5 linked regions of the Oryzias latipes genome follow. The protein of the gene in region 3 interacts with the protein of the main gene of each other region in a pairwise test. Links are inferred from orthologs where the notes say so. Each region holds a gene or a part of one and is shown on either strand. Other genes may lie near its edges.

Region 1 (5,946 bases), on a different chromosome or scaffold from region 3:
CGTGACATTCAATCACATACATTCCACACAAATGGAAAACCTTTTTTTTTTTTTTTACAGCTTTCAGCCATCCAAAAGACATACGTAGCTACATGCAACTGGAAACTGAACAAGTTTAGACTGATCTGCCACATGCTTCCTCCAGGACAGCAAAGGGGCTTTCTATCCATCCTATCAACTCCAATGGTGTGACAAAAGGCAGACAGTTAGAGAAGGCTTATAAAATGTAAAATTACCAGCTGACTAATCAAAAATGACCAGAAACTGCTGAGAAAACTTTGGTTTGTCTTTAATAGAGACGTTTCTAAAGAAAGCTGACAGAGTGCTGATCTGTGGTTACTGGATCTCTTTAAACAGACAGCACTTCTCCTTTTGTTTATTAACACGTTTACAGTAAGAAGCAGGACAAATAAAAAGGTGGAGCAGGACGGAAACCTTTAGTCCAGTTTAGGGCTTCCCTATTACAATCTGCAAACACAGAGCAGTGAGGGTTGTCGGGATGCGTCTCATCCTGTCTGCCGTTTCCTGACTAACTATCTTGGGAGAATGCTGGCTCGTAGGAAGTCATGGCGGCCCCGCCCAGCCGGGATAACATTGCTTTCCTTCCTGAATGTTCTCCAACATTTCAGCTGTATTCCATGCTTCAGCTGCTCAGTGGAATTAGATGATGGTGTGTGATTGTGCAGTGTGTGACATTTTTGTGTGTTTAACAGTTTAGTTTACTTGGGAAATGTGAGGAGGGGGGGTAAAAGAAGCGAGGCATCAATGTTTGTCACAGTTCACAAGACGTTTCCATTTTTGCCACTGGCCTCCAACAAACAAACAATTACCTAATGGAAACTTTTACAGCACAACAGCCATCAATAAAATATCAGCCAGGAGAAATCTATTTGTGGTTGGCCTCCAGTAGAAAAAAAACATGAATTTACGCTCAGAAAGTCGCATCTTTATTACCTTCTTCTCTTCCAGAAGTTATATCTAGGATTGTCTTGTTGATTAAAAAAACACTTGTTTTTTTGTTAAGCGATTACTGTCTTTGAGACAAAAAAAGCATAGAATACATTTCTAGAAAAGTTTTCTCTCTGCATTCCTGCATTTGAGAATCGTGACAGGAAACAGACGTGTATACAGTGAGCCTACAGAGGTGCCTGCTTGATGTTTGATATCCAAACAATCCTTCACTGAACTGCTGAGCAACACTTCTGTATGGGCTGCTAGCAAAGCAATGGAGTGCACTGCAAGCACGAGCACTCAGCCAAGCCGGGACAAGAAACAAGGATGGAAAGACAGGAATGCAGAGATGGGGGAAAAATAAGGTTTGTCAGCAGGACATAAGGAAGCATTACCGTAATTAAAGAATCCCCATTTTCATTAGATTGAATTAAAATGTCATTTACATTTAGGAGGAGGTCCCACAAAAATGCACAACATCAAAGTATAGAATGAGTAACGAGCCATTTTGTCTGAGTGACTCACAAACACAGAGATAATACAATGATGGACACGGGCAGAAATAGCAAAGTCATAGGATCTCTTACATAAGAACTGTGGAAGGAAGTAAAGGAAGAAGGATTTTTAATGCTGATTATTATTATTTTTACTCCCAATGCCGTCCGTCAGGAGACACATATGGTGGTGTGGGCAAATAAAAAAAATAAAACCTGAATGATCTGTTTTAACTTTGCAATGGTCTAGAGACTAAACCCAAATAAGCAATGGGTCTTTACAGATGATTAAAAGAAAATATGCTTAGAAATTCCTCTGGTAGAGCATTCCTGCTAAGACAAAAACAAATGTTCCAGCTGTTTTAGGTGTATTCCCAATTCACGTCCGAGTGGAAAGCTGACAGAGCAGCCAGACAAGCAAAACTGTTGAAAATAAAGTCTTTTTAATAATAACAGAAAAGAACATGTTTTGGTAGAAAAGGTAAATGAAATGCTTTCTTGCACGCCATGGATCCTCCAGCCCACATGTTAGCTTGAGGCCAATGTTGGTTTGTTAACCACAAAGACCGTAATGAAGCACCACAGCTTTACAACCTAGGGTGCTTTTGATGAGCTGAAGCTTTCCTTGCACATCATCCCTGACAGTCCAATCACCCAAACAGAGAGCCAGACCACAGTGAGGCCACAACGAAGACCATAAAAACTGGGCAAGAGCTGGAGAGGCCATTAAAAAATAAACAAACAAAGATGAGAACTAGCAAAGATGCGGTACGAAAGGAGCCAGGAGGACAGAAAGAGTGGAGCAAAACTCAGCCAAGAGAAAAGTTATACTGACGGCTAAAAGGGAAGAGGAAAACGAAGTTAGGAAAGGAAAGGGTAGGGGTTACGGTAACATTCAATCCCTTCAAAGATCGCCAAAAAAGGGCATCTTAGATCCTGCTGACGCATGATCTGCTCCTCCAAAAAGGAGGAAGAAAGTTAGTTGATAGCTACTGAAACAAACATTTGGAAAATACAGAGATGACAGCTGGTTTTCCAAAAATAACATTGCCATAGTTCTGCTTTATTTGAAATTAGGAGCTTACTCAGATGTCACAAGTCAACTGGAGGATATTTTCAAAAGGGACCATCAGGGTTTGTACTTTGTTGAACAATGAACAAAAAAAGCAAACCAAAAATAAGAAGCATCTTATTTAGAGCTGATGCTTAAGAGGAGTACATTTGTTTTCATTGTTGGAAAACTCAAAGTCAATTTACAACTCCTGCCTCACTCTCCAGCATTATGCTGGGTTCAGACTGAATGTGGCTTTTGCATCAAATTGACCTTCTCCCTCTCTGTTTGGCCATGCAGCAAATTTGCTCTTATGGTGTGTAAAAAAGTGTGTTTATAAATCACACAGAAATTCACTTTAGGTCAATATGCATGTGGAAGGAGCTACTGCTATACGTTTTGAAGTGCCTCATTGCTACATTATGGAAGGCATGGATGATGTTGAAAGAGTAGCTTGGATTTATTTGTTTTGGACAGCTTTGCAAATGTGCCAGCAAGCATGTCCCTAAGCTTGGGTTCATGAGATCATTCAACGAAGGTCTCAGTACGTGAGTTTCGCCATGTAGGAGCTGTATCTGAATGACTGACACAACTGTACTTCTCTAAGCCCAGTTTGACGATTTGTCCATGGAAGGAATAAAGTAAAAGAAGAACCTTTTTATTCTTGTCTCAAATATCAATAAAAATAAGAAAAAACATGAAGTTTGGGAGGAGTACAAATAGCAGCGTTGAGCGTCTCCACCATGTCGGTTTCTGACTGATCACAACAACACGTCACTGCCCAGTTTTTTTAAAGCAGAGTTCTTGATTGGTTGACGTGACATAAATATTCCCAAATGTTCAGGTAAAAATTTTTTAACATGCTGGAATTCCACTGCACGACTGTTGCTAAGTTTACATTGACTTAACATTGAAACCAGCCGCCCCCACTCAGTGTAAATGCGGCATAAGATAATGAGAAAACCAACTGGTATACAAAGTAAATTTGTGATTAATGTATCTAAATAATGTTAACAACACTACAATAATCAATACCAAATATTTCAAATGCCTGCTAATTCTGACAAAGTCAGCAGGATACTGGAGGTTATTTTGAGCTGATTGGGAGGAGTTATAAAAGTATGGCAAGTACCCCCCATGAAGAGTACACTCACATCCTCTGTGTCCTTTACTCGAAGAATCTGTTCTCTAAGGTCTTGAAGGTCGTTGAAGGTGGACTGTGCTGTGATGGAGTATACGAGGGCAAAGCCTTGGCCATTTTTCATGTACAAGTCTCTCATCGCTGTGAACTGTTCCTACATTTGAAAAGAAAAAAACAAAGAGGAAGAATTAATTCTGACAATTTCCTTATTGTGTATAAACTCTGGTTATTGCCTGTGTTGGTATCTTGAAACTTGAGATTTGACATTTTGTTTGAGACTTAAGAGATCAAACAAAAATCTATTATATATCCTCCAAATATTATGTAGTACTAATAAAAAGGCTCATCTTGCATGAGTACAGCAGGGGAGGTTTAGTGCCCACTGCACCCAGATGAATAAAAAGGGTAAACAGCAACACTTGGATCATGTTTAAATTCACTTTGTTAGGAGATTATAAGATTTGAGAAAGTTTATTTTCTCTGACATTTTCTGACGTCTGAAAGTGTTTGATAAATGCATTCAGGAGTATGTGAAGAAGAGGGAATATTTACAGAGATGTCAATGAGGTCAGGTTTACTTACTGTGCCGGCTGTATCAAGAATTTCAAGCATACATTGCTGCCCGTCTACCTCCACTTGCTGAAAAGAGGAAAACAAGTGAACATGAAAATATGGCAACAATTCAAACTGTTCACTGTTCAAATGAAATTCAGAAAACTCTAAAAGTCAGTAAAGAATTAAATGAGTGGGATAAACCAGATTATTTTCTAAAAGAAAGCATCGGCAGACAGCTTAATAGCATTTACATCCCATGAGGACACACTCACCTTTCTGTACGAGTCTTCTATTGTAGGGTCATATTTTTCCACAAAGATTCCCTGCACAAACTGAACTGTCTGCAAGAGAAGGCACAGACAAAATCTACCATCAAACAAACATGCAGGTGCCATGTCTGCTGGTACAAACAACAATTCAAGGATTTCTTTAACAAGTCAGGACCTGGAATCAGGAAGCTTGGGGATATATATGGCTGACATTCCTTAAAAAAGGGGAACAAATTGGTAACAATAGCAGCGTTTTAGTGTCTGGTACGACTATAAGTTAATATGAAAGATCATGTATAAACAGTCCTTTCTTAAAAGCACAGTCCTCTGAAGCAAACGTACACATAGGTGTTCTAAATTCATCTGACAGCACCTTAATCCTACTAGCTCAGGGGATAAGCCACACTCTGACACCTGGTAAGTAATTAAAGTAGGGCATCTCTAAGTTTTAGACACATGTCATCTTTAAAGACCTGATTTCAATAACAGCTAGACAATTAATATTCCTGTCATTTGTCCCATGATAACTACAGAACAATCTGAATGTTTTCTTAAGCTGCCTCACTGTATGTTGCTAAGGATACATCAACAAAGATTGCACTGTTAAAAAATGGATTATGAATGTTTTACTCAAAAGTAGAAAGAGACAAAAGAAGGTATATCAATACAAGGTTTTTTAAAAGGATAAAGTAGTTGTTTGGATAAAGGAGTTTCAAATTTGCTAATAGAGCTTTTCCCCCTCGCATTCTGTTTCCAAATATTTGTATTGTCATGCAGAAATTAGTTGTGATACATATTAAACTAGATCAATAAGGCCTCAACTAACATTTTCTTTATATGGTAGTTTATTCAGTTTGAGCGCTGTTTTCTGAACACTGTTCAGCAAGTTGCCAAAACTTCAAATGTTTTGTTGGTTATCCTTCTGGTTATTGTTAGGAAATTAAAACTTAGCTCATGTAGCGATCACTATTTTTGTACCAGAGTTTTTACCAAGAGTTTCCAAGCCTAAAGTTTCAGCAGAACCTCTTGGTGAATATAGATGCATGTGTCCATTTACTTGCAGGAGTCGTTTCTAACGTGTCCACATTCATTTAAACACATACAATTCGTCACATAATTGTAAAAATAAATTTCATAAAAACAACACAATCACATAAACATGTTAACTGGATAACTATAGCAGGCTGGAAGGGTGATCACGAGGGCATACTCACCAGAGCAGACTTGCCCACACCGCCAGAGCCTAACACAACAAGCTTGTATTCACGCATGGTGGGATTGCTTCACTGGACAGCCCAACAATCTGTATGAAAAACAAGGGCGAAATAAAGGAAAATGTGAAAAAAAGGATGAGCTGTTTTAATCATGAAAAATTGTTGTTCCTGCTCAACACAGAAAGGGAATGTCTTGAAGATTTACTGCTAAAAAAAAAAGAAGGATCGCACTCATTTTTAGAAGTAATGAACAAGAGGAGCACAACAATGG
Region 2 (5,692 bases), on a different chromosome or scaffold from region 3:
ATACACTTTGAAAATCACAACAAAATGTCACATATGTACAGTAGCAGATTAGCACATCGGAATAAAAGTGAATATGGCACGACATATGCAAAGCTTCAGAAGATAATCTCTGCTCTGGTCAGACACTAAAGGAAGTCACCAACATTCGGAATATATAGATCATTCAATCTTGGTAGCAGTAAATTTCACTACAAGGCAAAACCAAGGTCCTTCAGAACACAAAACGTGAATTTTTCAGGTTGATTTTTTTAAGAAGGCAATGTTTAGTGTCAGGACTCTCGCCTGTAAATTAGCTTACAACTGAAGGTAGAGTGGTGTTACAATTTGGCATTGTCAGTTGTCCATAGCAATGTCCTGGAAACAGCAGTTTCTGGTCAAAGTATCTCAGAAAAGGCTGTCTGGAGTCATGCACGTGGAGAAGGCAGCGGTCAGTCATCCACTTAGGATCTGATGTCAGGCAGAGTTGGGGGGGGGGGGTTGAGAAGCTGCATGATTTCTACAGTAATAAGGCAGATTCAGACAATCACACAATGGCAGCCCCGCTTGTTTTTCTCTTTTCTCGTTGGTTCTGGCGAGGGTGGACAATCCTGTTCTTGGAATTTCCTGCAGGGGTCACGGAAGAGCAAAACGTTTAGGACATATGAGCCCGACCATCTCCGCAAACACTTTGTTTCCGTATTTATGTCAAAAGATATCCTATCTCATTTTATGATTACCAAGTGTATTTTCAACACAGCTTAGATTGTTTGTGGGGGGTGACATTCATAAACATGAATTACTGAAAATGTTCTTATAGAAATTTGACTGCTCCATCACAGGAAACTAGAACATCAGACTCCCTGGAGGCATCTCCATTCTTAAATGAAGCAGGTGGAGCTGCTCTTGCAGTTCAACATTTTCTAATCATTTTTGTATGAACTGTATTTAAAATGTAAAAAACAAAAACTCACTAGAAAAAAGCTAAAATGTTTAAAAGGCAGATGAGAACAATTGCTTAAATTTTTTTATTTTTTACATGAGGGGATAGCGCATTCTACCTGTAATGATAGATGATAAGAAACATGTTTTTATTATAAAAAATGAAAACTAATAAACAAAAAAAAACTAGAGTTCATCTTCAGATTGACTTGTAAGAATCTTACCTGATTACTCTAACCAGTTCATGGAAAGCCTGGTCTACGTTCATTCGGATTTTGGCTGAAGCCTCCATATACGTGACTTTTAACTGTCTCGCCAAATTCTGACCCTCTTCCTGGTTGACCTGAGGTAACAGACAGCGAGAGAATCGTGAATATGTGCCTAAACTGAGAGGAAAGGACCCGTCCCCTCCACTAATGCATTCAGGAACCAATATACTGTACTTTTAAAATGGAGAAAGTTTAGCAAAAAATAAGAATATCTTCTCTTTATCCATCTTGCCTGGATAGCATTTGGCTTAAAAAACTTAGTTAAGCAAATTTGGATCCATTTCTATAGGATTTGCCCGCAGTGTCCCTCTTTCACCATTAGGAGGTGCTGTGGATTCACTGCTGGAAAATGCTTTAATGTGCACCAACAGACTCCCCCAAAAAGTTCATTATTTACATTATTTAATCAAGATCTTCTCTCTCTGCTTTCTTGACACAACAGTTTCTATTTCCTCTTTTATTCAGTCACAAACTGCTGTATGATAGCTTCCTGCAGCTGGGCTGACTCTACTGTAAGCAAGATAACCATACAAGACATAGAGGGGAAAAATGAAAGCACGGTGCATTTCTATATGTTTTAATTGTTCGTCATTAGATCATTTGAGTTCAGTTCTTGGAGACTTACTTGTCTTTGTATCTCCAAATCGGCTTTGTTTCCTACAAGGATCATGGGGAACTCGTCTCTGTCTTTGACTCGGAGGATTTGTCTTTGAAATTTGTAGATCTCTTCAAAGCTATGAAAAAATAAAAAATAAAAACAGGCGTTATGCGGGGTCCTCCAAAACAAACAAGCCATAAAATGCTTTCCACTGGTACATGCATCCACGCCGCTAAATGAAGTCTTCACTGTCATCACTGGAAAGCAAAAGCGCGGCCCAGCCCTAAGTGTCACCAGTTGGGGTGGAACATAAACTGTGTTTATCGAAGGCAGGGGGTTAGGCAAATTGACCCGACTGCTGCCCCACTGTAATGCAGATTTGATGGGCAAAAAAAAAAAAAAAAAAAGAATATGTCAGACAGCCTGGGGGTGGGGAGATGAGGCAGAATGCAACCACAAACCCAGGATAGCATTCCAGTCGTGCTGAGCACATAGTAAATCTGGAAAGACTTGACTAATATAAATGGAGGAAGGAAAGAGTGTTTACAACATAAACACTGGGAGGGGGTTGTGGGTGGGGACGAGGGAATGCAGCTCCCAGCACTGCTGAGGGACACAATGTCACTTGATGGGAAGCGGGAGACGGTCCAACAAGAGCGTAGAAAAACTATTGTTTGTAAATCCAACTTCATTGACTTTAGACAATCCAATTTTGGGTTTTTTGGTGAAAAAAAAATCACACAATTTGATTAAACATAAGCTCCTAGAAGAACATCGTTCTGATCATCTCCCTTTTCCCCCTTCAGAAAAGCTGCCTGATCCTCATAAAAGAATGCCAGCACATCTGCTGCATTTGCAGGTGGAGGAATGCATGCTTTTAAGGCGCTCTCTGTTGCCATGGCGAACTGGGATCTGAAAAAAGGGACAGTTTATTTATCGTGACACTCTGAATCTTTACTTTAAAATAACACAGTGTGAGCGTAAACAAGTTTGAACTGAAACACAAGGCAAGTGACAGAGTTGGGTTCAAAAGGTTAAAGAACTGTGAGTGCCTGACGGTGTTTTCAGTACATATATACATCCATGTTGTTAGTGCATACAAACTTAAAAAAAAAAGAAGTCCCAAGTAAGAGATCAAACTTTTAAGAGATGGAACATTTAAGTTGCATGCATCAAAAAATCCAGAACCCCTTGTGAGCTGATTTTTTTTTTCCTTTTTCCGACTCTACTTTGGCCTTCAATCGAAAGCAAAGGTGGATTAAACAGGGCACAGTACGAGAGGAAGTCTTAAGAACAAAGGAGAACGACAACAAGAACAACAACAGGGTCCGGAAACGAGAGCAGCAACAAGTGAGAGTGGCAGTGCAGCGAGCATGGGGTTTCGAACCAGTGAGGGTGTAGCATGCGACTGTGAAGCGTAAACATCGTGTACAATAGAGAAAAGCGGCGAACAGCGAGTCAAGTGTGTGCGGCTGTTACCACATGGCGAAAAAACTGTCACCTACCTTCCTCTGTCGGTCACTGAGAAGACGAGCAGGAAGCCCTCCCCTGTCCTCATGTATTGTTCTCGCATGGCTCCAAACTCTTCCTGTCCAGCCGTGTCGAGGACTGCGCACCACAAGCACATGCACCGGCGCACAAACGCACACACGGACAGACAAACAGAAAAAGTGAAGAAGTCAGCTTTGTCGGCAGGAGTCATGACTTGGCACAACCAAATTTTTTTTAGATACCCACTCCCATGAAAATGGAATTTTTGGTAATTTGAACGTGATTATGCAGCATTCTCTCCCAATGGAGGATATTTTTAAGGAAAATGAAGCTTAAAATTACATTTGAGTATTTCTTTATTAAAGTTGTTGTGAATCAGGAGAAAATTATGACGCTGTGATGTAGGCGGTACAATCGGTGTGACACTAGCTCTCTGCTCTGCTCTATTCTGATGCATCCACTTGCAGACAAATAGATCCAGGTACGTCTTTGTTTTTCTGCCTCAAAACTGTACGGCTGGATAGCTCCAATATTAGTTGCCATTTTGGTTGCACCGGAAATGTTAGGTTGGGGTGTGGGGGCTGTAAGCTAGCAGGAGAGTGTAAAAACAGATGGATGATGGGAAAGGAGCAGGCTTACTCCACCCCAGCTGACCTGCCCACAACTCAGAGGCAAATTCCTAATTAACTCCTGTCATTTTGCAGAAACTATGTCCTAGCAAACCACACAGGTTTTTGATTTGGGCTAAAAATGAATGTTTAAAGATGATTGGAGTGGGACTTAAGGACAAAAAAATAAACACAATTTCAGGCAATGTTTTTCTCTCTGCCACACTACTCGTCAGTTCAGTTTATTAGCTGTCATATGACTTCTCATGTTGCCAGAAAGGGTGGATTTCATCTACATGGGCATAAAGGACAAACAGTGTTGCAGACGTGTCAAAGCAGGACTTACTGTCGAGCCGCGCCGCCCGTTCGTCGATCACGCACTGCTTAGTATAAGAGTCTTCAATTGTTGGGTCATAATCGGTGACAAAGTAAGACTGCAAGAGAGACACATCAAGACACGGATTATTTGAAGGCAGTCTGTTTCCACACAAACCTAATTATGACCTGCTGACATTTTACAGCCTATTCATGGGGGGGGGGGTGTTGGAGGTTAGGATAAGCGGTATTCTATACCAACAGGAAACTGACAAAACTAGCTTTAGCGAGTAATAAGGTTTCTTTTCCCCGATGAAGACCTTTAACACCCTGCGATGTTCATTCCCTGCAGCTGTGATGTGAGCAGCTCTTTGTGCATGACATGACTCATCAACAAAACATTCAAAAAATCTAAATGACTCGACTCCAGCTCATCATTTCTGCTTTGCTACAGAAAGATCGGCACGAGCTGCTCCCAAACGGGAGTAGACGTCCTTAGCAGACCCTCCCGTTGACCTCTGCCTTTACGGGCATTCTGCAGACGGGAGGTAAACACAGCGTCTGCAGACACCTGCATAAAAAATGTGAAGTGAATATTCTCCTCCACCCCTCCGCTCACACACCAGTCAGTGCTGCGTCTTTCTCAGCAGGCCGTTTTTCACGTTAGTAACACTTTAATAAGACGTTTCCTCTGTTACAACAGTGGCGTTCCATTTCATCTCCATGGCTTTGATTCTGTAAATCCCGGTCTCCTAGTAACCCACACTGGAAGGGTGGGGCCGGCGAGCAGAGGAAAGACAGGGGAGTCGCGCATTTTTGAGATTTTTCCCATGTTTTGCCCCCCCCCCCTCCCCTAACCTCCCCTCCAGGGTCCTGTTAGGTGGTGACAGCAGAGGGGAGTGCTCCGGAATGTCAAACCAACACCCCAAGACACCGAGCAATTACACCAAAACACACATTTACAGACCAACAATGAGCAGCATTTCACTTTGACTTTCACAATGCAGATGGGGTGTTATCTAGAAGTAAGGAGGGGGGGGGCACAACAACATGAGTTGATGCTGCCCTTAGTGTAAATTAAAACTTTGGTCTAATGTGTAAATAACATATCAGAGAAAAAAAGGGGGGGGGGGACAGCCACATTTATGATCCAATTTAGGACTACTACAAGTTCTTTCTTACGGAAAATGGTATATAAATATATATGTAAAGTCAAAGATTCTCAAAAGAAAATGAAACAAAACCTAACAGAATTCATTATAAAATACTGTTGTCATCAAACTAGATCAAACTTCCAAACAAACTATTATAAAAGAAAGTTATTTGTATTGTTTTACTACTAAAAGATTTTCTTCCGTTTCCAGAGGAGAAATAAAATATATAAAATATAATATAAAAGATTAAAATGATAGATTTTAGGAATTTAATTAAAAAAAACTAAATTTTAACATTTAAATCCTGTGAAGACAGGTTTGCAGAGTATACATTTGCTG
Region 3 (5,946 bases):
CGTCCATCTGCCTCCAGGTTGGACGTGTTGTTCTTTCAGAGATGCTATTCTGCAGACCTCGGTTGGAACCAGTGGTTCTTTGAGTTCCTGTTGTCTTTCTATCAGCTGGAACCAGTCTGGTCGTTCTCCTCTGACCTCTGGCATCAACAAGACATTTCTGACGACAGAACTGCTACTGTCTGGCTATTTTCTCTTTTTAGGACCATTCTTTGTAAACCCTAGAAATGGTTGTGGGTGAAAATCGCAGTAGATCAGCAGTTTCTGAAATCCTCAGACCAGCCCGTCTGGCACCAACAACCACATTCAAAGTCATTTCAATCACCTCGTTCTGATGCTTGCTTTGAACTGGAGCAGATCGTCTGGACCATGTCTACATGAATACATGCTGCCGGGTGATTGGCTGATAAGAAATTTGTGATAACGAGCAGTTGGACAGGTGTGTCTAATAAAGTGTCCAGTGAGTGTAGAGCTAAATGTTCTGCCTTTTCTTTTTCGAAAATATCTTGATTCTCTTTGTTTTGTATGACTGTATGAATGACAAACGCTGTGGGACTCTTATGAGAGCGGATATGTCTTTCAATGTTTTATAGCGTTGATCTTGATCCCCCACATCTAATACCACAATTTGATTGTTAACTGTTCTTCCATGAGTGTTTTTAGTAAGTGCAAATGGGATTTTTTCTTGTAGGAAGGAACCTCCAAATTTGCAACTTTAGAAATCAACCCCAAACGAGCACAGAGGAGACACCAGCAGCAGAGAGACCTGGTAAGGTGGATGGGTGGAGGTCAGTGTCCTGCCTGCTTTGTTCTCAGAACTATTGAAGATTGTTTCCTACAGCACCATCTTCATGCAGCCCTTGCAGTTATTTTTTAGTTTTTCTGAAGCAGTCTGCTGACCTTTATCTGTAAGTATCTGTTGAAAATACTAGTTGTCATCCAGCACCACCAGTAGGCCACACCCACTATCAGCTCAATAGTGAGCACCTGTGAGACTCAGCCAGGAACTTACTTAACTCAGCCAGCTTGCATTCCCTTCCCCCTCCAACCTCTACCAGGAGAAGAAGCAGTCCCAGCCAAATGCTACCACAGATCAGTCCACGTCCAGCTAAGTGGATGCATCATAGACGCAAAATCATCCACAACTCATCAGCTCAATTCAAATAAATAAGATGCCTGTGGAGTTTTGGGAGTTCAGTGTTTGAATATGCATCCCAGTTATTTTCTATTTTTTCTGAAGCAGTCTGCTAACCTTTATCTGTATGTATCTGTATATGATAAAGACGAAAAATTTGCACTAAAGTATAAGTCACATTTGGTTGACATTAGTTTAACAAAACACAGGAGCAAGAACGGACAATTACTGTATTTTCCCGACTATAAACCGCTATTTTTGTCACGAACCTTCGACCCTGCGGCTTATTCAATGATGCGGCTAATTTATGATTTTATTTATTGGCCACCAGGAGCGCTTCGGCAGTCTCAGAGGGGAGACTGCTTGCGTAATTCTATGTCCAGCAACAAGCGTGACTGCTTTGAGAAACACTCAAGCTGCCAAACAGCATGGACCTCACTTCAGCTGTTAGACACTTAAGTCATGGTGCAATAAAAGGAACATCCATGCCCAGCCGCATCCCACAATCCTTTGGTGCCATTAGACCCAACGTGCACATGACAGCCACTAGAATATGATGCAGCTTTCAGGTTAAAAGCAATCGTTAAAAGCAGTGTGAAAAAATCCACCATCACCAACAGGTTTGGAAAAGCCGGTCTGCTGCGTGCCAGAAGTTTCCTTGACTTTTGTGGAAGGAAACTTCTGGTGGACGCGCCGTTACGCAGAGCCGCGTAGAGTGCGCATAGGCACGTGCCGCTCGCGCTTACAAGTCACTGCCACTCTCTTTTACTTGTGTGTTTTTTTAACAAGCCCTGTTATTTCCACATTGCTGCCATGTTACAGGGGAGAGCTGCTCTCGCGTTCCGCTGCAGCTCCCTGCTCCTTCTTAAACACGCACGCGGTTTCAGAACATATACATCCTCAATCTACAACACAGTCTGACGAACCGGGGGTTAGCCCCGCCTTAAACCCCTAAGACTCATGGGAAGTGGGGAATCTGAGTGTGAATTTCCACACCACAAGTGAGGGAGCTGTTAACTGAAGTGAGGTCCCTGCTGTTTGGCAGATGTGGGTGTGTTCAAATAAATAAGCTAAACTACAGGTTACTCCCCCCTCTCTGAGACTTCTGTGGTCTCAGTGACGTGCTACTTGAATTGTTACAACATGCGGCTTGTGTATGTAAAAAGTGGTTAATCCTCATTAAATTGGGAGGGTGCGGCTTGTAATCAGCTGGGTTCTATAACACAGTAATTACTGTAATGTTAAAAGTCATAACAGAATAGATGACAACAATAGACTGAATACCCGCACGCTTCATTACTGTAACACATTGATGCTTATTTAGCTTCATGAAACATAGGAGGAATCTAGTATATTGTGCCACATATGAACACTTATTCAAAAGACCATAGCAGCAAGAACGCAATTCAACTAAACCCTTTATGACTTAAAATCACTAAATCTATGGACTTCTTTGGCCTCTGCTGCTTTGGAAGAATTCCGCCAAGCCCGGCGGCGTAAAACTGAGCAGTGCTTTTTCCTTTTGCGTTACTGTCAGTAGCAAATACTCAGACACACAACTACAATGCCCTCCAGTGGTTGTTGCTAAGTCACACCTCAAGCCAATCCACGCAAAAAACTGAAACTTAAACTCCAAAAAAGACGGTAATTGTGTTCTTCTGTCCTTTCAAACTTCATCCATGTCCTGTTTGTTAACAGGGGGTAATGCAGGGGACCATTCCTTATTTGGGAACCTTCTTGACGGACTTGGTGATGATGGACACGGCCATGAAGGATTACACTGAGGTAAGGACCTGCGTTTCTTTTTATCTTAGCTTGGTCTCAGTCATTGCCTAAGTTCCTGATCTGGTTTTCCAGGGTGGTCTGATCAACTTTGAGAAGAGAAGAAAGGTGAGTAAATTTCATGGGAACTATTATTCCTTACAGAAGTGATGACAATCACTTTGAAAATGGTTCTGTTTCTGGGCTTGCAGGAATTTGAGGTGATTGCTCAGATCAAACTGCTTCAGCTGGCTTCCAACAACTACAGCTTCACTCAGGACAGCCACTTCAGAGAGTGGTTCGCCAGTGCAGAGAAGCTCAGCGAGGCAGAAAGGTCAGTTGATCAGTAGCTTGGTGGCTACTCCATCAGTACAAAAGGAGCCCAACAGTGATCAACTGTGATCCGCTAAGTTTAAGCAATAAAGAAACAAAAATAAAAAGAAGATATATTTAAAAAAAAGTCAAAGATAAATGGTCTGCTAATGTAAATCATTCTAAAATTTCTTTGGTTGAATCTTTTTTTAATCGTTTCAACACCACGGTACATAGAATGGCTGTCCTGTTCTGGTATAATCTCAGCATTAGAGACAGATAGAAATATAGTTTTATTCACCATTTTGAATGGATCTGACTGAAAAAAATGGCTTTGTGACTACATAAATTAATAATTTTCCCTCCCCCCACAGCTACATGCTGTCTTGTGAAATTGAGCCTTTGTCGGAGTCGGCCTGCAATACACTGAGAGGCAAAAAGAATGGAGGAATCATGAAGCGGTGGAGCGAGTAAATTATTTCAGGATAGTCTATCAGATTTCTGTTGCACATCACTTCACTAAAGAATTATTTCCCTCCTCCTAATATCTTTCAGCCGGCAGCTAACAGAGGCCAGCTGCAGCAGCAACAGCTCTCACTCAAAGTCCTTTGACCACTCACACTACAGGCCGTGTCACGGAGGGGATGGCGGCGATGCACTCAGCGTCACCTCAGTCAGCTCCAGTGGCTCAGACCTGGAAGACGTTCACGTCAGCTTTCTGTCAGACTCACCGGAGGGGCATGAGAGGAAGGTAAGTGGGGGTGCAAAGGGGGTCAGCAACAAAACTCAGGTAGGCTGTGGTGTTGGAACCATGCTCAACTGGTACTAAGGGGCCCAAAGTGGGCCAGGAAAATATCCCCCACACCATGCCTGAACGTTGATACAAGGCAGGATGGATCCATGCTTTCATGTTGTTGAGGCCAAATTCTGACCCTACCATCTGAATGTGGCAGCAGAAATGGAGACTCATCAGACCAGACAAAGTTTTTCCATCTTCTATGGTCCAGTTTAGGTGAGTCTGTGTGAATTGTAGCCTCAGTTTCCTGTTCTTAGCTGACAGCAGTGGTACCCGGTGTGGTCTTCTGCTGCTGTAGTCCATCTGCCTCCAGGTTGGACGTGTTGTTCTTTCAGAGATGCTCTTCTGCAGACCTCGGTTGGAACCAGTGGTTCTTTGAGTTCCTGTTGTCTTTCTATCAGCTGGAACCAGTCTGGTCATTCTTCTCTGACCTCTGACATCAACAAGACATCAATGACTTATTACAAACCTCGCATAAATATAAGAACAGAGACTAATACCTATAAACCAACTATAGAAATGTTTCTCTGCTTTGAAATTTTTCAAAAATTATTGAAAAATTATTCAATGATAAATTAGTTTATTTTATGTATAAGAATAATATTATTGATGAATGTCAATATGGTTTTAAAGAAAACAGATCAACCTTAGTGACTATCATAGATGCTGTGGAGGAAATAACTGCTTCAAGCAAAAATATGCGACTGGAATTTTTATGGACCTAAAAAGCCATTTGACCCTTTCAATCATGACATCCCACTTGGTAAATTACAAGAATATGGGATAAGAATAGCTTAAAGTCAGGTCAAAAGCTATGTAACTATTTGACAAGTTAGAAGGAGCGAAATCAGATGCTAGAATATTTGCGGTGATCAGCAATGTGCAATTCTGGGACTGTTACTATTTAATATTTACATGAATTAAAAAAAACCTTTAAGAAACATAACTTGCTAACGATACAAATATATTATTCTACAGGCAAATAAAGGGAATTTGGGAATCTGGTAAATGCAGAGCTAAATAAAATACATGGATGGATTACAACAAACTATCACTAAGATTAGACTAAACAAATGTAATTTCTTTTGGTAAATACAATTTCAATGTGGAGTTGGCAATAAAAAAAGAATGTCACTTTCAAGAGTGTAACAGAAGTTAAATTCTTGGGACTAATAGTTGACCACAAACTAAGCTGGAAGTAGCACATCAGACACACAAATTGAAGTAAAGTAAAGTAGTGGAAGGATAAAATTTTTCCTGTAATGGTAGAAGAAAAAAAGTCCAATAATAGCATAATCTCAGTATATACCAGAATATAACTTAGGATATTTGTTTTACTCCTATTTAATATTACCATTTTTTCCTTCTCTAAAGAAATTTTTGGGTAATATTTATAGACGTTCACTACATTCTCTTTTTTTTACTTCAAAAACGTGCCATCAGAATCGTATATAGTTGTTTATCTTGATCACTCAAACGCTTTTATTTTATGTATCCAATCTTGTGGCCAAACACTCCTCCGTCAATCAAGTTGCGCTTATGATGCTGAAAGTTATTCTGAAGCTAGTCCTCACGATGCTGAAGAGAAAAGTTGATTCTGAAAACGGAGCCTTTGAAAACTGATGAGAGGCAGAATAAATATTACAGATAATTACTGGTAAACCTGCGTGTGTCATTTGTAGAGCTAATGTGGCTGTAATTAATTAATATGCTGATGACACTCAACTCTACATCGCTGTGTCTCCTGATGATGAAGAGTCGGTTAACACACTCTTAAATGCATTTTAGACATTGAGTCATGGATGGCAGAGAACTTCCTACAGCTAAACCAGGACAAAACAGAGGTTTTAGCGATCGGTTCTGAAGACAAGAGAGAGATAGTTTTATCTAAACTAAAGAATTACAAAACTTTTCAGTGTGTGAGAAACCTGGGTGTCATTTTTGA
Region 4 (6,621 bases), on a different chromosome or scaffold from region 3:
AAAACGTGACCAAACACTTGATTGGATCGATTCCTTTTTTAGGCCAGGAGTCCTTTAGGAGGTCGTTTTACTGCTGAAACAAGGACTGACAAATGCTCCTCCATGGGGAAGGGATAAGGCAAAAGAAACCCATGAAAAAGAGTTCAGACATCCATGCAGAAGCACACCAGCTGCGCAAATCAAACTTCCCCAAACTTGATGGATGAACCCAGTGTGAAAATGACCTTAGACAATAATCCACCACAACACATGGAGACTGAAAATAGAAGAAATCAAAACACGTCAGGCTCGTGTTAGAACCTCACCACAGTCCCAATAAAAGCCAGCAGGTTAGCTTTGACACCACATGAAGCACCAGCTTTGGCTCAGTGTCTTCCTCCATCCCTCGTCCGCCGTTCCCCCCAACAACACACAGAGCTGATGGGTGCGCGGCTGCGTACACTTACCCCTCTCACATCACAACACACTTTTTAAGGTTGACACAGCGTGGAGTCTTTTCTTCCTTGCTGAGCTTACTGAGCCGGTACTGCCTGATCTCCCGTACCAGAGTGTAAAAGGCATCTTCCACTCTCTGCGGTATAAGACACAACTCTCCTCAATGGCGAGGAATGTAGGAGCACATTCTTCATGGTGTCAGAAATTTTAAGATAAACATGGGGATACTCCTGAAATGCCGGATTTGTCTTCTCTCCAAACTCTTAAAAACTCAAAGAGTTTGATTGGATGAAAACTGAGCAGCAGCTTCTGCAGGCTTGGAAATGAGTCTAGTTTCCTCCCCATAAAACGTAAAAAAATGAAATATATAAAACCTAATTAACTAACTATTTTCTATTCCTGGAGCTTTTGCAGAGGAGACTGCAGAGCTGTTCTTAAGCAAAATAATGACTGAAGTAAAAGGGACTATGGAAATTGGATTTCTTCTTGTATTCCAAAACTGTTGAAAAGTATGGACATTTGTCCTGAGAACTCAAATAAATCAACACAATTTATTTAAACAATAATACTAAATAAATAACAGCAATGCAGGGCTGATGCTCCTCTCAGCAATAACCGTGTAGCTCTGTTCATATCGGTTGATTTAGAGGCAAAAAAATATGGGGAAAAAAAAATCCACAGCTCTGTGGGATTTGCCTTTTCACACAAAAGTAGAAGTATGCTGTCAAAAATAAATCAAACGATTGATATGAAGGGCCTTATAGTTTTAGAGATACCATAAAGAACTGACATGAACTCACAACAAAGACAACTTTATTCTATTGCTTAGCACTCCGAAAAACAGCTATTTTTCATCCTATTGAGTAACACTACACAGATCATGTCTTAAAGTGGATCAACAGACTGATATGGGAATGATGATGCAGTGTAACAGACAGCAGTTGGTTGATAAAGCAGTAAAATAAACACAGTTATTGTGTTTAGGCTGCAGTTGGCGCCTCCTTAAAAATCAGAGTCACATTCCAAGCCTGCAGGAGATTAACAACTGGGTGGAATATCACTTTATTCAAACTGGACACAAATTAAGGGTGCATGCATTCAGGATTTTCCACAGAAGTCAGAGGAAAAAAAATAAACATTTGAGGGGGGGGCAATTGACTCCCAACAAAAGTAAAGTTGCAATCAGACAGGAGCGAAACCGTATGAACAAAAGGTACGGGACACTCAAGAGGGAATAGGTGAACAAAGCTGCCAGGAATTAGTCACGGCACCAATCATTTCCCCACACCAGAAAAAGTGCTGTTTGGCTGCAGCTCACAGACCAGGATGAACACGTTCACAGATCACTCCATGAGCCCATCTAATGGCAAAGGCAACGATCACGACACCCACCACAGGATGCAACACCACAGCTAATCTTCCAACACCCACAAACAGTGACCAGCTCGCTGAAGAATCAAACCTCTCAGAAATTACTGACAGTTTGCCCTTTCATGCAGACCCCTGATTTGAACCGATTTGCAGATTATTTACAAGGATGGTTTCAGGTGGGCCCAACTGACAATGTCAATTCGTCATTTCATGACGTAGCAGCATGCAGTGATTACCTTACCTCACATAAATAAAAATTCAATTAAAGAGAGATGATTTAATGAGGCTCAATACATTAGCAGGGACATTTCCCTCCAACATTATGATAAAAAGGGCCATTAGAGACAGTGAATGTGACACAAATCAGCAGAAACGTGATTCAATCACTTATCTTCAATTCATTCGAAATTTTTAAAAGACACTTTTCTAAATTACAATATCCTAGTTTTTTTTCTGAAATAACATTTTATTATTTAAAAAAAACATGTTGCATGGAGCCGAGGGCAGACTTACCTGTCTGGTTTTGGCAGAGGTTTCAATAAAGGGAATGCCAAAGCTGCGTGCCAAGTCCTGAGCCTGCTTGGTGTCCACCGTCCGGGTCGGGAGGTCACACTTGTTTCCCACCAACACCATGGGGACGTCCTCAGAGTCCTTCACCCGCTTAATCTGTTCTCTGGACAGTCAAACACATGAACTTTGTTTAACCATCAACCAAATTATTCCAAATTCCACACATAAATAGATTCAAATCAGACCACAGATCACCTTTGTTCGGTGATGAATGTTTTATTTTTGTGCTAAAATAATTACTTACAAATGGACACATTTTTATTTTGAAGAAAAAAATGACAACAGTTCTGGAAGACTACTGCCTGCCAGCTTGTCTTTCAGCTCACCTATAGTGGTGAATGTCTTCAAAAGACTTGGTGTTGTTGATAGCAAAAACACAGAGGAAGCCTTCCCCTGTCCTCATGTACTGATCCCTCATGGCGCTGTACTCCTCCTGACCTGCAGTGTCCAGGATGTCCAGCAGACACGTCTCTCCATCAATTACTACCTGTTTTCTGTAGGAGTCCTGAACAAGAAATAAGTTTCAAATGATCAGAACTCTGTAGAAAAGTGAGTCAAGTAAACAAAAAAAAGTTGTTTTTATGCTTAGAGTACTTTAGAATATAAAAATTGTTTCGCCATTTTGCAAAAATGTACACAAACTGGGGAGTCACCAAATATTTATAAAAAAACAGAAGTGATGATAAATATACAAGTATATTCAAATGTAGTTTCACAATACTAGGCAAAAGTGATCACTTTTAATTTTAGATGGTGAAATAAAGATATAAATAGTCAGTCAGTAGTAATACATTTTATTTGAAGAAAAAAAATTACAAACAAAAAAGGCAAAAATGTTTTGGTCTGACATAATTTGGATAAAAGGCGAACAAGGAAGTAACTACAAAGTTCTAAAAATCTTTTCTTTTTAGTAGGAAAAAAAAACACCAGTGCAATTTTTCCCTTTTCACTATGTTGAAGGGAGAAAAAATGGCCAAGAATTTAAATGTGAATAAAATTGAATATACAAAAAATGTGACATAGTTTAAGAAACTCAATGGCTTTGTTTCATAATTCATAGTTTTTTCTGCTGAAATGATTGTCATGTAGCTTAGAATCTTAACATAATTGTACCACTTAAGCAGGCCTGCATTGATGATTATTTTGTCGTGTCTTCAAAGTTGAAACTGGACTCCACTCAATTATTGTCCCTTTCTGATCAATTTTGCAGCAGGCCTCAAGTTACACTGAAGTCCCACTCGGTGCTTCACTTTTCTTTTTTTTTTTAAATCGCACAGATGAAAATAGCTAAAAAGAGCAGCGCTACTGTTCTTTTTATCGAGGTTAACATGGAGTTAACATGGAGTGATTTAGTATGAACAGTTTAATTTAGAGTTCTTTTAATTTGAATTATTTTTATTGACATGCATTTTTTAGGTCAGACAAACTCCATGTTAACCTGGATAAAAAGAACAGTAGCGCTGCTCTTTTTATCCGAGTTAACATGGAGTTTGTCTGACCTAAAAAATGCATGTCAATAAAAATAATTCAAATTAAAAGAACTCTAAATTAAACTGTTCATACTAAATCAGTTGGCTCTAAGAAACTGTGCAAGAAGCCAAGTGTGAAGCCATTAGAAAACCCGTTTGGTGTCTTTTAATAGTTAAACTAGTAGAACCTGTTACAACTCTTTGCTTTTTCTTTTTTTTACACAAGTTTTATTGCTAATGCACTGTCAATTTGTGTATCCATACACAATGTTCCTTTACCTCAATGGTGGGGTCATATTCATCCACAAAATGGTTTTGGATGAGCTGAATGGTAAGCGCGCTCTTGCCAACACCACCAGCTCCAACCACAACCAGCTTATATTCCGTCATGATTCACCTGAGGGACCAAAGTAAGAACATCATCAAGTAGTACATCCCCAATTCAGCGGAACCCTTAATGGCAAATGATGCACGTCTCAAAATTATGACACTTGGTTTCATTGTTATTGTCAATTTTGGTTTCTTTTCTCATACTTCTAATAATTTGCAGACAGTTTTAGGGGACAGTCATCTGATCATCTCTTGCTAAAGGAAACCTGTAAATTGACAGCTGCAATGCAGTAAAAATCCAAATGTCCCAGAAAGTTTGAAAAAATGCAATCACAAAATACAGTTTGTTGTTTAATCTAAACAAAACCAACATATGAACCTTAAATTTAAAGACTAGCTGTCATAAAATGCTAAGCATGTATATTAAAACTCATCATTATAGAAAAAGGTAAAACAAAACAGAACTTCTATAGAAAAGTGACCTGAAATAAGCAGGTGGTGAGCTTTGAGAAGTAAAAAATAGATAGTTTTTCAGTTCAAATCAAAGGTCTGAGTCCAGCAACACATTCAGGGCTATTTTCTGAGTGATAATCAGACAACAGAACCTAGCTCCAGGCAGAAATCTATGACATTACATTAAGGCTGTAAAATTGACAAGCAACAGGGAGGCTCTCTGCTGTCTGACTTTTGTGGAGCAGCATCTATCAATACTGGCAGCTGGCCTTTTCAAAGACTACAATACAAACTCCTCAAAGCCATAGAAGAGATGCACTAAATACTGCTTCCACAACTAAGATTACCGTGGCTGAAAGAGTCAAAAAAAAAAAAAAGGAAAGCTATGTAGGAACACCACGTTTTTAAAGCCGGTTCAAACTTTGTGAAACTAGCTATAAATTAGAGGAAAATGTAAGTTTCATTTTAGAAACTTTTAAGAAATAAATTAGGCTTTTTTTTGTTAACTAATTATTGTATTTATTTTATATTTTTATATTTAAAGTAGAGGGGGTATGGGTTATGCCATTTTTCTTCCTTAGTTTAAAGGAGGCAAAAGCAGTCGATAGTAGTGTTTGTCCTTTGAAGGTTTGTGTTTGAACAGGAAGACAAATCAAACGCTGTGGATTCTGAAATCCCATCCTGGGAAGTCACAAAATTGTGTACAATCTTTTGTTAGGGGTATATTTAATTCAAACCCAACGCGGAAAGAAAAAGCACTCAAATTCACCGCTAACACAATGATGGGATTAATGGAGATTGATTAGCACCTATACAAATATTAGCCTAGCGTTAAAGATTGATACCCGTATGAAGCGGACGCGGCTTTTCAACTAAACTTTTGTGTATTTTGGTTTTGTTGAAGCAGGTCGGGACAGCCACGTTATGTCTAAATTAAAAAAAAATGTTACATTAAAATGTCAATTAAATCCTTATCCCGTATGAGGAAAACCTGCTAGCATAAGACTAACGGCTGTGCTGTTAGCCGCATTAGCACCGGAGCTTTCAAGCAGCCCCAAAAGTTGGTTTTTATTCGCTTTAATGAAACAAAGTAGTGTGTTTTAATGAAAGTGACTCGTTAGTTTTGCCTTGTTTGTACTAAACCCTGGAGGACAACAGTTAAATTTAATGCAAAGTTAAAAGGTTGCACATTTTGAAGGAGGCAAGCTAGCATAAATCTGCAGTGCAGGGCCACACTGTAGGTTAACGACTGGGCGTAGTTTGGGCCAAATTTAACACTCCTACTGCAATGTTGTCGCACAAGAGTTCACATCACATTCAATTAGTTGTATTTCAACTCAAACGTGGAATCAATTTTGATTAAAATAGTAAGGAAACAAACACGCACATGAAATTAGTGGTAACCGTTTGTTTTACCTTTAAGTGACTGGAGTTCCGCGTCTGAAGTGGCGACCGATTAAGTTGTCAAGCAAATAATCCTCTCGTTTCGCACGATCTCCGCATTTCCTACTTCTCACCAAAATGCCGGCATTTAAGTCGGTCTGACGTGGTTTGGGGAGCGGACGAAAACATGAAGTTGCCAAATTAATCGATTAAACTTTCCATCTGATCCAGCGCCCGGCCTAGCTGCTCCTTCTGGCCTGCGTTACGCGAATATGGGCGGATACCAGGGCGCACTTTACCCAGAAAGCATCGCTGGAGATTTCAGCCGGTCCGCATATCTCGACTGTGTCGCAACCTGACACTTAATGCGCTGTGTTATGTCATTTGTTGAACACGGTTGTTGTTTTAGAAAGGTGAGCCGTGAAACTGTAGGTTTGTTCTGGGTTTTTCCCCCGTCTCCTTTAAATATCTTTAGCCTCACTCACTTCCTTTTTATGTTTTTCTGCCATTTTGACACACGCAAAAACCGTGTTAATAATGATAGTTTTCATGGTTACACACGTTGCTGGCTGGATTTGGGGTCAGAACAAAGATTTCCGGCAGCCTCCCA
Region 5 (6,679 bases), on a different chromosome or scaffold from region 3:
ATTATGAATTTTGGATTAAAGGCTCCAGAAATATAAATTATCAGCCGATCCTTGGGTTCAGAAAAAGTAATGCTTCTTTTTACTCAATTTGCAATTTGTCCTGTTTGATGCTACACAAACACAAAATGCTATAAATATTTTGAAAATACGTCTGCGTTCCACGAAAGCCTAAAATGCTTGATGGTATGAACTCACCAGTGCAGATTTTCCCACGCCTCCTGATCCCAGCACAACCAGCTTGTATTCACGCATGGTGGGCAACTTCACCGGACCGCACAAGAGTCTGAGAAAGAATGGAGGAAGGATGAGGAACTGAGAACAGAGTTTTCTACTACAGAAAACAACGTCTTTCATCATTCAAATGTGCCATCTTTGTTCAGAATGAGGGCACAGAAAGAAAATGGAAAAATATTTTCAGAACTTCACTCTGTCAAATTAGGTTTCCCACCTAATCCTAAAGATATTTATCCAAAATAATAGACTGAGTTACTTAATGGAGATATAAACAAATAATGATCAATCAATCATTGGGGAAAAAAAAGAGTGAATAGCAATTTTAAAAAAAGTCTTTCAAAATCTCAAGACCATTAAGTGAATAAAGTAAGAAAACAAGCCGGTTTTAACACTTGGCCTCTAAACTGTGGAATAAAAGCTGAAGCTAGTGCGTCAGTGTTCCAGAGCTCCAAATAACTTCACCTCATTACAATACAGGGGAAAAAGGCCACCAAGAGTGACCTATCATCAGCTTCATCAGCTCAACACACTTTCAGATCGCACACACGGCCTGGAATTAATTAGCAGGAGAATGTTCAAGTGTGACACGCTTCACACAAAAATAGGCATTTTCTCAAATCAATCAGCTGGATCCCAATTTAGGAAAACCTTTAGTCCACACAGCAGGAAGAACCAAAGATACATTTTGAATTATGACTTATGAATTACAGCAGTAATCTAGTAATTTGAGAATCCAGATGACAAAACCGATTTATGTTGATAAGTCCCTCTACATCTGGGGATTAGGGGTCAACAGATTCTCAGGTACAATATGACAACCGCTCCAGAGAGACTGAGGGTCGATGGGGAGCCAAAAAAAGTGCTCAAACTACGGTAGTCCTAAAGAAAATCAAGAGACATGGAAGGATTGTGAATCTCAAATACTCTGTTTTTTTCCGAAAATCAAAAAAAGAAAACTCAAAAATAGTAATTATATCATGATAATGACATTAAGTTATAAAATTAAATGATTTATTTATCTTTCACATCTATTTTGACTTAAAAAATGAATTGATTTAAAAAAAACAAAAAACAACCCTAATTCCATGAAGAAGAAAAAACAATAAATCAATCACAAATATGGAAAAAAAGGTTTTTGTTCATCAAATTTAATTAAAACATCATGATACATATAAAAAGTATTTCTTTATTTACCATGTCAGAGAACATCTACAGTAAAGCATCAAAGTACATTTTTGAATCTGAACCTGATGCAGGTCTGCTGTGATCTTTGTCGAACATTGAGACAGGCGCTACATACAGCTCTCTGTCACAGTCGGCCGACATTAGCAATTCTAACTCTGATGTATGAAGGACAAACAGAAACCCGCAGTGAGAAACAGACACACACAAAGAGCCATTGTGATGACCATCCTTTACTCAAGTACATACAAACACAGAAAGGAGATCAGAGAAAGCATGCATGCCCACTGCGCCAATGTCATTACTGGGGTGAGGGGGCGTACCTCGAGGTGACGCCAGCATGCGCCTGATGTGCTTGTTAGCTTAGAAGTGAATGCATGAAGAGGGGAGGAAAAAAAATCACTCCGTTTAAGATGTAAATTTGTGTGGGTGTCACAGCCTTTGCCTCAAAGCCTTTCACATCAGATAAGCAGCATAAGCCTTCCTCTGACAAGATTTGAGGCTGGACTCAAACAGCTGAAGTAACAAGCACTTCATTTATTCGTCCCACTTAGGGCTATGAAAATTAAAACGCTTCCTCGTTTTTGTTAGCAGCTAATGAATACTTCAAAAATGAAGGAATAGATGAAAGACATCACTTAATTTTTTTTTTAAATATAGTAATAAATAAATAAAATGACCTACTGTTCACAGATATGTCGATAAGTCCCTCTACATCTGGGGATAAGGGGTCAGCAGGTCCTCGGGTACAATTATGTCAACCGCTCCAGAGGGAATGAGGATCAATGGGGAACCAGAAAACACCAAAAAAAAAGTGCTCAAACTAGTCCTAAAGAAAATCAAGAGAAGATTTATGTCAGGAGTACATATAAATGATTACAGATTGCATCCATCCTATTATAGTGTAAAAAGTCAATCACATCTGTGACTGTCACTTTAGTGCAAAAAGACCTTAAATCTCCTTCCACAAAGGAACTTAAAACTAAAAGGACTGTAAAGGTGTTTTACAGATCAATACAAAAAGCAAGACAGTCCAACAGAAGGTCAACATCTCTTGATGACAACTACGGCGTCATGAAAAACAAAAGTTAGATAACAGCATTAAAATGCAAATAATCTAGTTTTAACCCAACTTCTAACCTGTAGAAACACAAAACACATAAATGCATACATTTGGCTAGGGTTGAATGGCAGTGAAGCTAAGTAGGTGACTCAACCCCTTCAGTTCAATATACAGCAGGTATCATGTGTCATCCCCGGACGCTGTAACTGCGTTTTACCTCGACTCAAATGAACAGGAAGGCGCCTGGTTCGAAACTTGACAAAAACTTTCTTCAACACGACTTTTTCTTAACGAATCGTGGTTTATGACAAGGCCGTGGCGCACTGTTATCTTTTATAACCGAAAGCCGCTAATAAAATTTGTTTTGTTTTCGAGACAACTTTTTAGCGGAGTTGGTTTCGAAAGGAAGGGTGTGGCTATTAGTTCCCCATTGTAACAAACGCTCTAACATCGTGTAAAAGTTACCCCAATCGACTGACGACTTTACGTAAACGCAAACACGAACTGGTCACACATTTTACCAGACAAATTTTAAACATTACCTACAAAAAGTCTTACAACTTACGTATTAGCATTAAGTTAGCATATAAGCTAACTAACGTAGCTGGAGATCAGGGTTAAACTCCGAACTACAGAAACGATAAAACTAAAGATATTGTGGCCAATAGACAAACAAGTTAACAAACAGATTAACACTAATTCACCGCTTGAATTTATTTTACAACTTTGTTAATGTTCCATAGCGGCTCACTAACTACTTCGCTCAGACACCGAGTGCTAAGTTAGCTTAGGGCTGAACTCTCAGGGTGTCACTACTTTACCGAAAGTTTTACTTAAAACCCCTTTAGAGTTACCAGAATACATACACAGAAATGAGAGGTATAAATAAACGTTCGCTTATCTAAATCACTATAAATGTTTGCACGAACAACTCGTCAGAATCCGCGGTTAGCAACCGTTAGCTTTTTAGTCTTTTAAATTAGCCTCTCAGCTAAGCTATTTACCAACAAGCACCAGTCTTTACCAGCAGCTTTACAAGTTGTCCGGGTTAAAATACAATAGCTGCTTACTGTATCCTTACTGAACTACTGCGTCATAATTGAATTAATTACTTCGAAATAACTGATTTCAACAGTGAGTAGAAGCCTGATGAGACTCACCGTGTTCCGCTACGTGTGCGCTAAACGTTCCGAGCCTGTGGATGTACGGAAGGTTCAGCGGGAGCCGCTGATTGGACCAGACTCGGCCAATTATGGCAGCGCTCTGTAGAGCGGTCACTTCAGCCGCGCGGCTCCTTCTGCTCTTATCATCACATAGGAGCAAACACATGACATGAAGTCTGTTAAAGCGCATGTGCTTACATCTATGCAGCAGGGCTCTAGACTGCCGCTAATTTAGTCGCGACTAAATTTTTCAACGGTGCGCCTAAAAAAAATCCATATTCGCACGCACCGGTGCGCCCACACATTCTGTATTGTAGTGGCCGTGGGGAAAAAGCATCATCTCCGCGAGTCTGAAAGTCTCGTTCCTGTATGTGTGTGTCTGTGCAGGTGTAACACACTTCGAATAAGAATGGTTGTTTTTGTTGATGAGAATGTACATCTGAGCCGTTCAGTTTGGGTTCGTGCTGGCGTCACCTGGAGCGGATCGTGAAAAAAGTCTGTAAAAATTCTTAAACATCGGAGCTTTAGCTCCTGCATTTACAGTATTTCCAGTACCGTAACTTTCCCACCTTTAACGCATTGAAAGTAATTCCAGTGGACTCTTGAGCGGAGAAAAGCAGCTTTCCGCTGATGTGCGCAGCACCGTGCTGTAGTGAAGTGTTTACGTCATCAACGTACATCAGCGGATACCGCAGCGGAGAAAAAAGCATTGCAGAAAAGTGGAGCCGTGGCTCCATACGTTAGTAATGTGCTGCGTATATCGGCGCAAAACCAGAAAGAAATGCCGCTTTTCTCTGCGTCAGAATCAGCGGATTCAAGAGGATCGCGAGAACGGTAAAATATTTACCTTGTATGTCAAAAAATAAATAAGTTAAAAAAAATGTTATTTTCGCTGCAACAGTTTTGATGTTAAAGGATTAACTACGCTGGCCCTAAAGTTCAAATCACATCAATAAATCACTCAACGCAAAAACATGACAATTTAAAAAGCAAAATAAATAATAAGACATTAAGTTTTAGAAATCAAAACAAAATTTGAAAATGACAAAATGAAATGTTTTAGAAAACAAAAGTAATCTTCAGAAAACAAAATGTTAGAAATGATGATTTGATGAATGATGATTATGGGACATAGCTGATTGGATGATGACGTATGTCCATCATATTAACAGTTATTAGACATGTAGCACCTCAAAACAAAAATATGAATGTTACTGCTGACCCAAAAAAAGCTGCTGCTGTCAAAGAATATTTTAATTCAGGACAAACATATGAAAAGATTCTGGATCTGCTCTGCACTAATCACAAAACTTTACGTTTTTTTAACTGAAATTTCAGCTCAGTGATGCAATTATTTTTTATTCATTTTCAAAGCGTTACCAGTTGTCTTTTAACCATGATTTTTCAGTTTTTAGCCAAATATTTTTTCTAAACTGTCGTTTTCTTGGACATAGTTTCTGTAGAGCGGCAGTTCATTACCTCTGAGTTGTGGGTGGGAATGTTTGGACTGGAGTAACCCTCTACTGACATTTCATGGAATCTCTGGTTACACTCTGTCCCACGAGCTTACAGCCCCTCACAATTACAACCATGGCCGGCCCTCCCTATACGCGAATTACGCAGCCGCGTAGGGCCCCCGTCACTATCAGGGCCCCGAAGTGGCGAAAAAATAAACAAAAAAGACCCAAACCTGGCAACCAATTTCATAGAATTTACGTACCAGCGTGCGCTCTGAATGTTGTGCAAGAGAAAGTTGCCTGCACTTTTGTGATCCCCCCTTCAACACACCTGAACCAATCTGGCAACCCAAATAAGGACGTTACGCCCCTCTTAGCAGCGATTGGTCAACATCATTGCATCTGAGCCTGGCACACTGTGTATTTACGAGCTCATTTTATTTCAATAAAGTTGGGGAAAAGAAAAAAACGAGCACATTTTGTCACACTGATCAAAGCGACAACAAGACAACTTCATGCCATTAGTGACTTTATCCATCATTAGGAGCTGAAAAAAGATGAAGAATTCAACATCAGTCACAAGGTAAGTTTGGAGGATGTTGGGGCCGTATTTTTTACATTATCCAGTATTTTTGTGCAGCTGCGCGATTTACGTAAAATACTAATCGATCCGAGGTGAAGATTGCACATTAAGATTAACGACCCCGTTTTTGTCGTAATTTCCAATGGAAAACTCGAAAATAATTCTGATACCCAAGTTTCCAAGATGAGGTCGGACATGACCTTCTAAAACAGCTGAGAGCAGAGAAAAGTAAATAATGATGATTATGGTGGCTGAAAAATGTTTAACTCACGTTATCGTATTGGTTATTGTTTTGCTACAAATATTTAGTGCGTTCTGCATTTTCAGCTTTATGTCATTAAAAAAACTGCTGTTTATTATAGCAGGTCAGGTATTCCGACTTTTTCAACATTGAACGTGTCTTAAAATCTTGCATTGGCATGAAATATGGAGAATCAAAACTGCCAAATACATAGGAAATGAATGTTCTCATAAAATGATAAACAAAATAAATGTACTAATTTTAAAATCATGAACATACAAAATAATTGATAAAGACGTGTATAAATGCTTAAATTTCCATTTATACTCAAATTATTGTTCACATTTATTATTTATAAATGGGTAAATTTTTTTCTTATTTGTATTTTGCAGTTTTGATTCTACATAATGATGATGTTTTGCACAGTTCCGTCTCAGCCGACAGTTTCTTCTGCTCTCAAAAAGTATTGGAGGTGGTGCAGCGTCCACATCCCAAGATGTTCCTGACTTCACTGAAGATGTCATCTCAGGTAATTTTAATAACATGTAAAGTAATTTAAAAAACAGTGTCTGCATAACCCCTTATGTTCATAAACAGCAGCTGAAGAGAATGGAGTCCCAAGTTGTTCATAATAAAAATGAATAAATATCCCAATCAAACAATAAATCTCATAAATATATAAAAAGATCATGAATTTGTGAAAAACCTGCACACAGATTTTAATCGAGCCACTAAACTATTAGTAGTTTTCTGCTT

What was found.
Region 1: the proteins of ralgds (region 3) and ras-related protein Rap-1A interact in a two-hybrid assay, tested with the Homo sapiens proteins (3 studies listed by BioGRID and IntAct). The link is inferred for Oryzias latipes from reciprocal best matches to the Homo sapiens genes RALGDS and RAP1A.
Region 2: the proteins of ralgds (region 3) and rras2 interact in a two-hybrid assay, tested with the Homo sapiens proteins (2 studies listed by BioGRID and IntAct). The link is inferred for Oryzias latipes from reciprocal best matches to the Homo sapiens genes RALGDS and RRAS2.
Region 4: the proteins of ralgds (region 3) and kras interact in a two-hybrid assay, tested with the Homo sapiens proteins (3 studies listed by BioGRID and IntAct). The link is inferred for Oryzias latipes from reciprocal best matches to the Homo sapiens genes RALGDS and KRAS.
Region 5: the proteins of ralgds (region 3) and ras-related protein O-Krev interact in binary tests that used the Homo sapiens proteins (3 or more experiments, as listed by UniProt). The link is inferred for Oryzias latipes from reciprocal best matches to the Homo sapiens genes RALGDS and RAP1B.

Annotation. Positions count from the first base shown.
Region 1 is NC_019863.2:11,454,897-11,460,842, reverse strand, and holds part of ras-related protein Rap-1A, read right to left. Parts: intron 5,765-5,946; 5' UTR 5,733-5,764; coding exon 5,676-5,732; intron 4,534-5,675; coding exon 4,465-4,533; intron 4,277-4,464; coding exon 4,220-4,276; intron 3,792-4,219; coding exon 3,651-3,791; intron 1-3,650. UniProt on the Homo sapiens protein: Counteracts the mitogenic function of Ras, at least partly because it can interact with Ras GAPs and RAF in a competitive manner. Together with ITGB1BP1, regulates KRIT1 localization to microtubules and membranes.
Region 2 is NC_019861.2:19,399,350-19,405,041, reverse strand, and holds part of rras2 (ras-related protein R-Ras2), read right to left. Parts: intron 4,319-5,692; coding exon 4,231-4,318; intron 3,394-4,230; coding exon 3,291-3,393; intron 1,922-3,290; coding exon 1,813-1,921; intron 1,262-1,812; coding exon 1,143-1,261; intron 604-1,142; coding exon 516-603; 3' UTR 1-515. UniProt on the Homo sapiens protein: GTP-binding protein with GTPase activity, involved in the regulation of MAPK signaling pathway and thereby controlling multiple cellular processes. Regulates craniofacial development.
Region 3 is NC_019867.2:33,325,317-33,331,262, forward strand, and holds part of ralgds (ral guanine nucleotide dissociation stimulator), read left to right. Parts: intron 1-688; coding exon 689-766; intron 767-2,830; coding exon 2,831-2,917; intron 2,918-2,989; coding exon 2,990-3,022; intron 3,023-3,105; coding exon 3,106-3,227; intron 3,228-3,579; coding exon 3,580-3,675; intron 3,676-3,760; coding exon 3,761-3,956; intron 3,957-5,946. UniProt on the Homo sapiens protein: Functions as a guanine nucleotide exchange factor (GEF) activating either RalA or RalB GTPases and plays an important role in intracellular transport. Interacts and acts as an effector molecule for R-Ras, H-Ras, K-Ras, and Rap.
Region 4 is NC_019864.2:21,724,243-21,730,863, reverse strand, and holds the start of kras (GTPase KRas), read right to left. Parts: upstream 4,236-6,621; coding exon 4,125-4,235; intron 2,882-4,124; coding exon 2,703-2,881; intron 2,480-2,702; coding exon 2,320-2,479; intron 572-2,319; coding exon 452-571; 3' UTR 447-451; intron 1-446. UniProt on the Homo sapiens protein: Ras proteins bind GDP/GTP and possess intrinsic GTPase activity. Plays an important role in the regulation of cell proliferation.
Region 5 is NC_019865.2:21,779,018-21,785,696, forward strand, and holds the start of ras-related protein O-Krev, read right to left. Parts: upstream 3,866-6,679; 5' UTR 3,640-3,865; intron 2,246-3,639; 5' UTR 2,101-2,245; intron 284-2,100; 5' UTR 253-283; coding exon 196-252; intron 1-195. UniProt on the Homo sapiens protein: GTP-binding protein that possesses intrinsic GTPase activity. Contributes to the polarizing activity of KRIT1 and CDH5 in the establishment and maintenance of correct endothelial cell polarity and vascular lumen.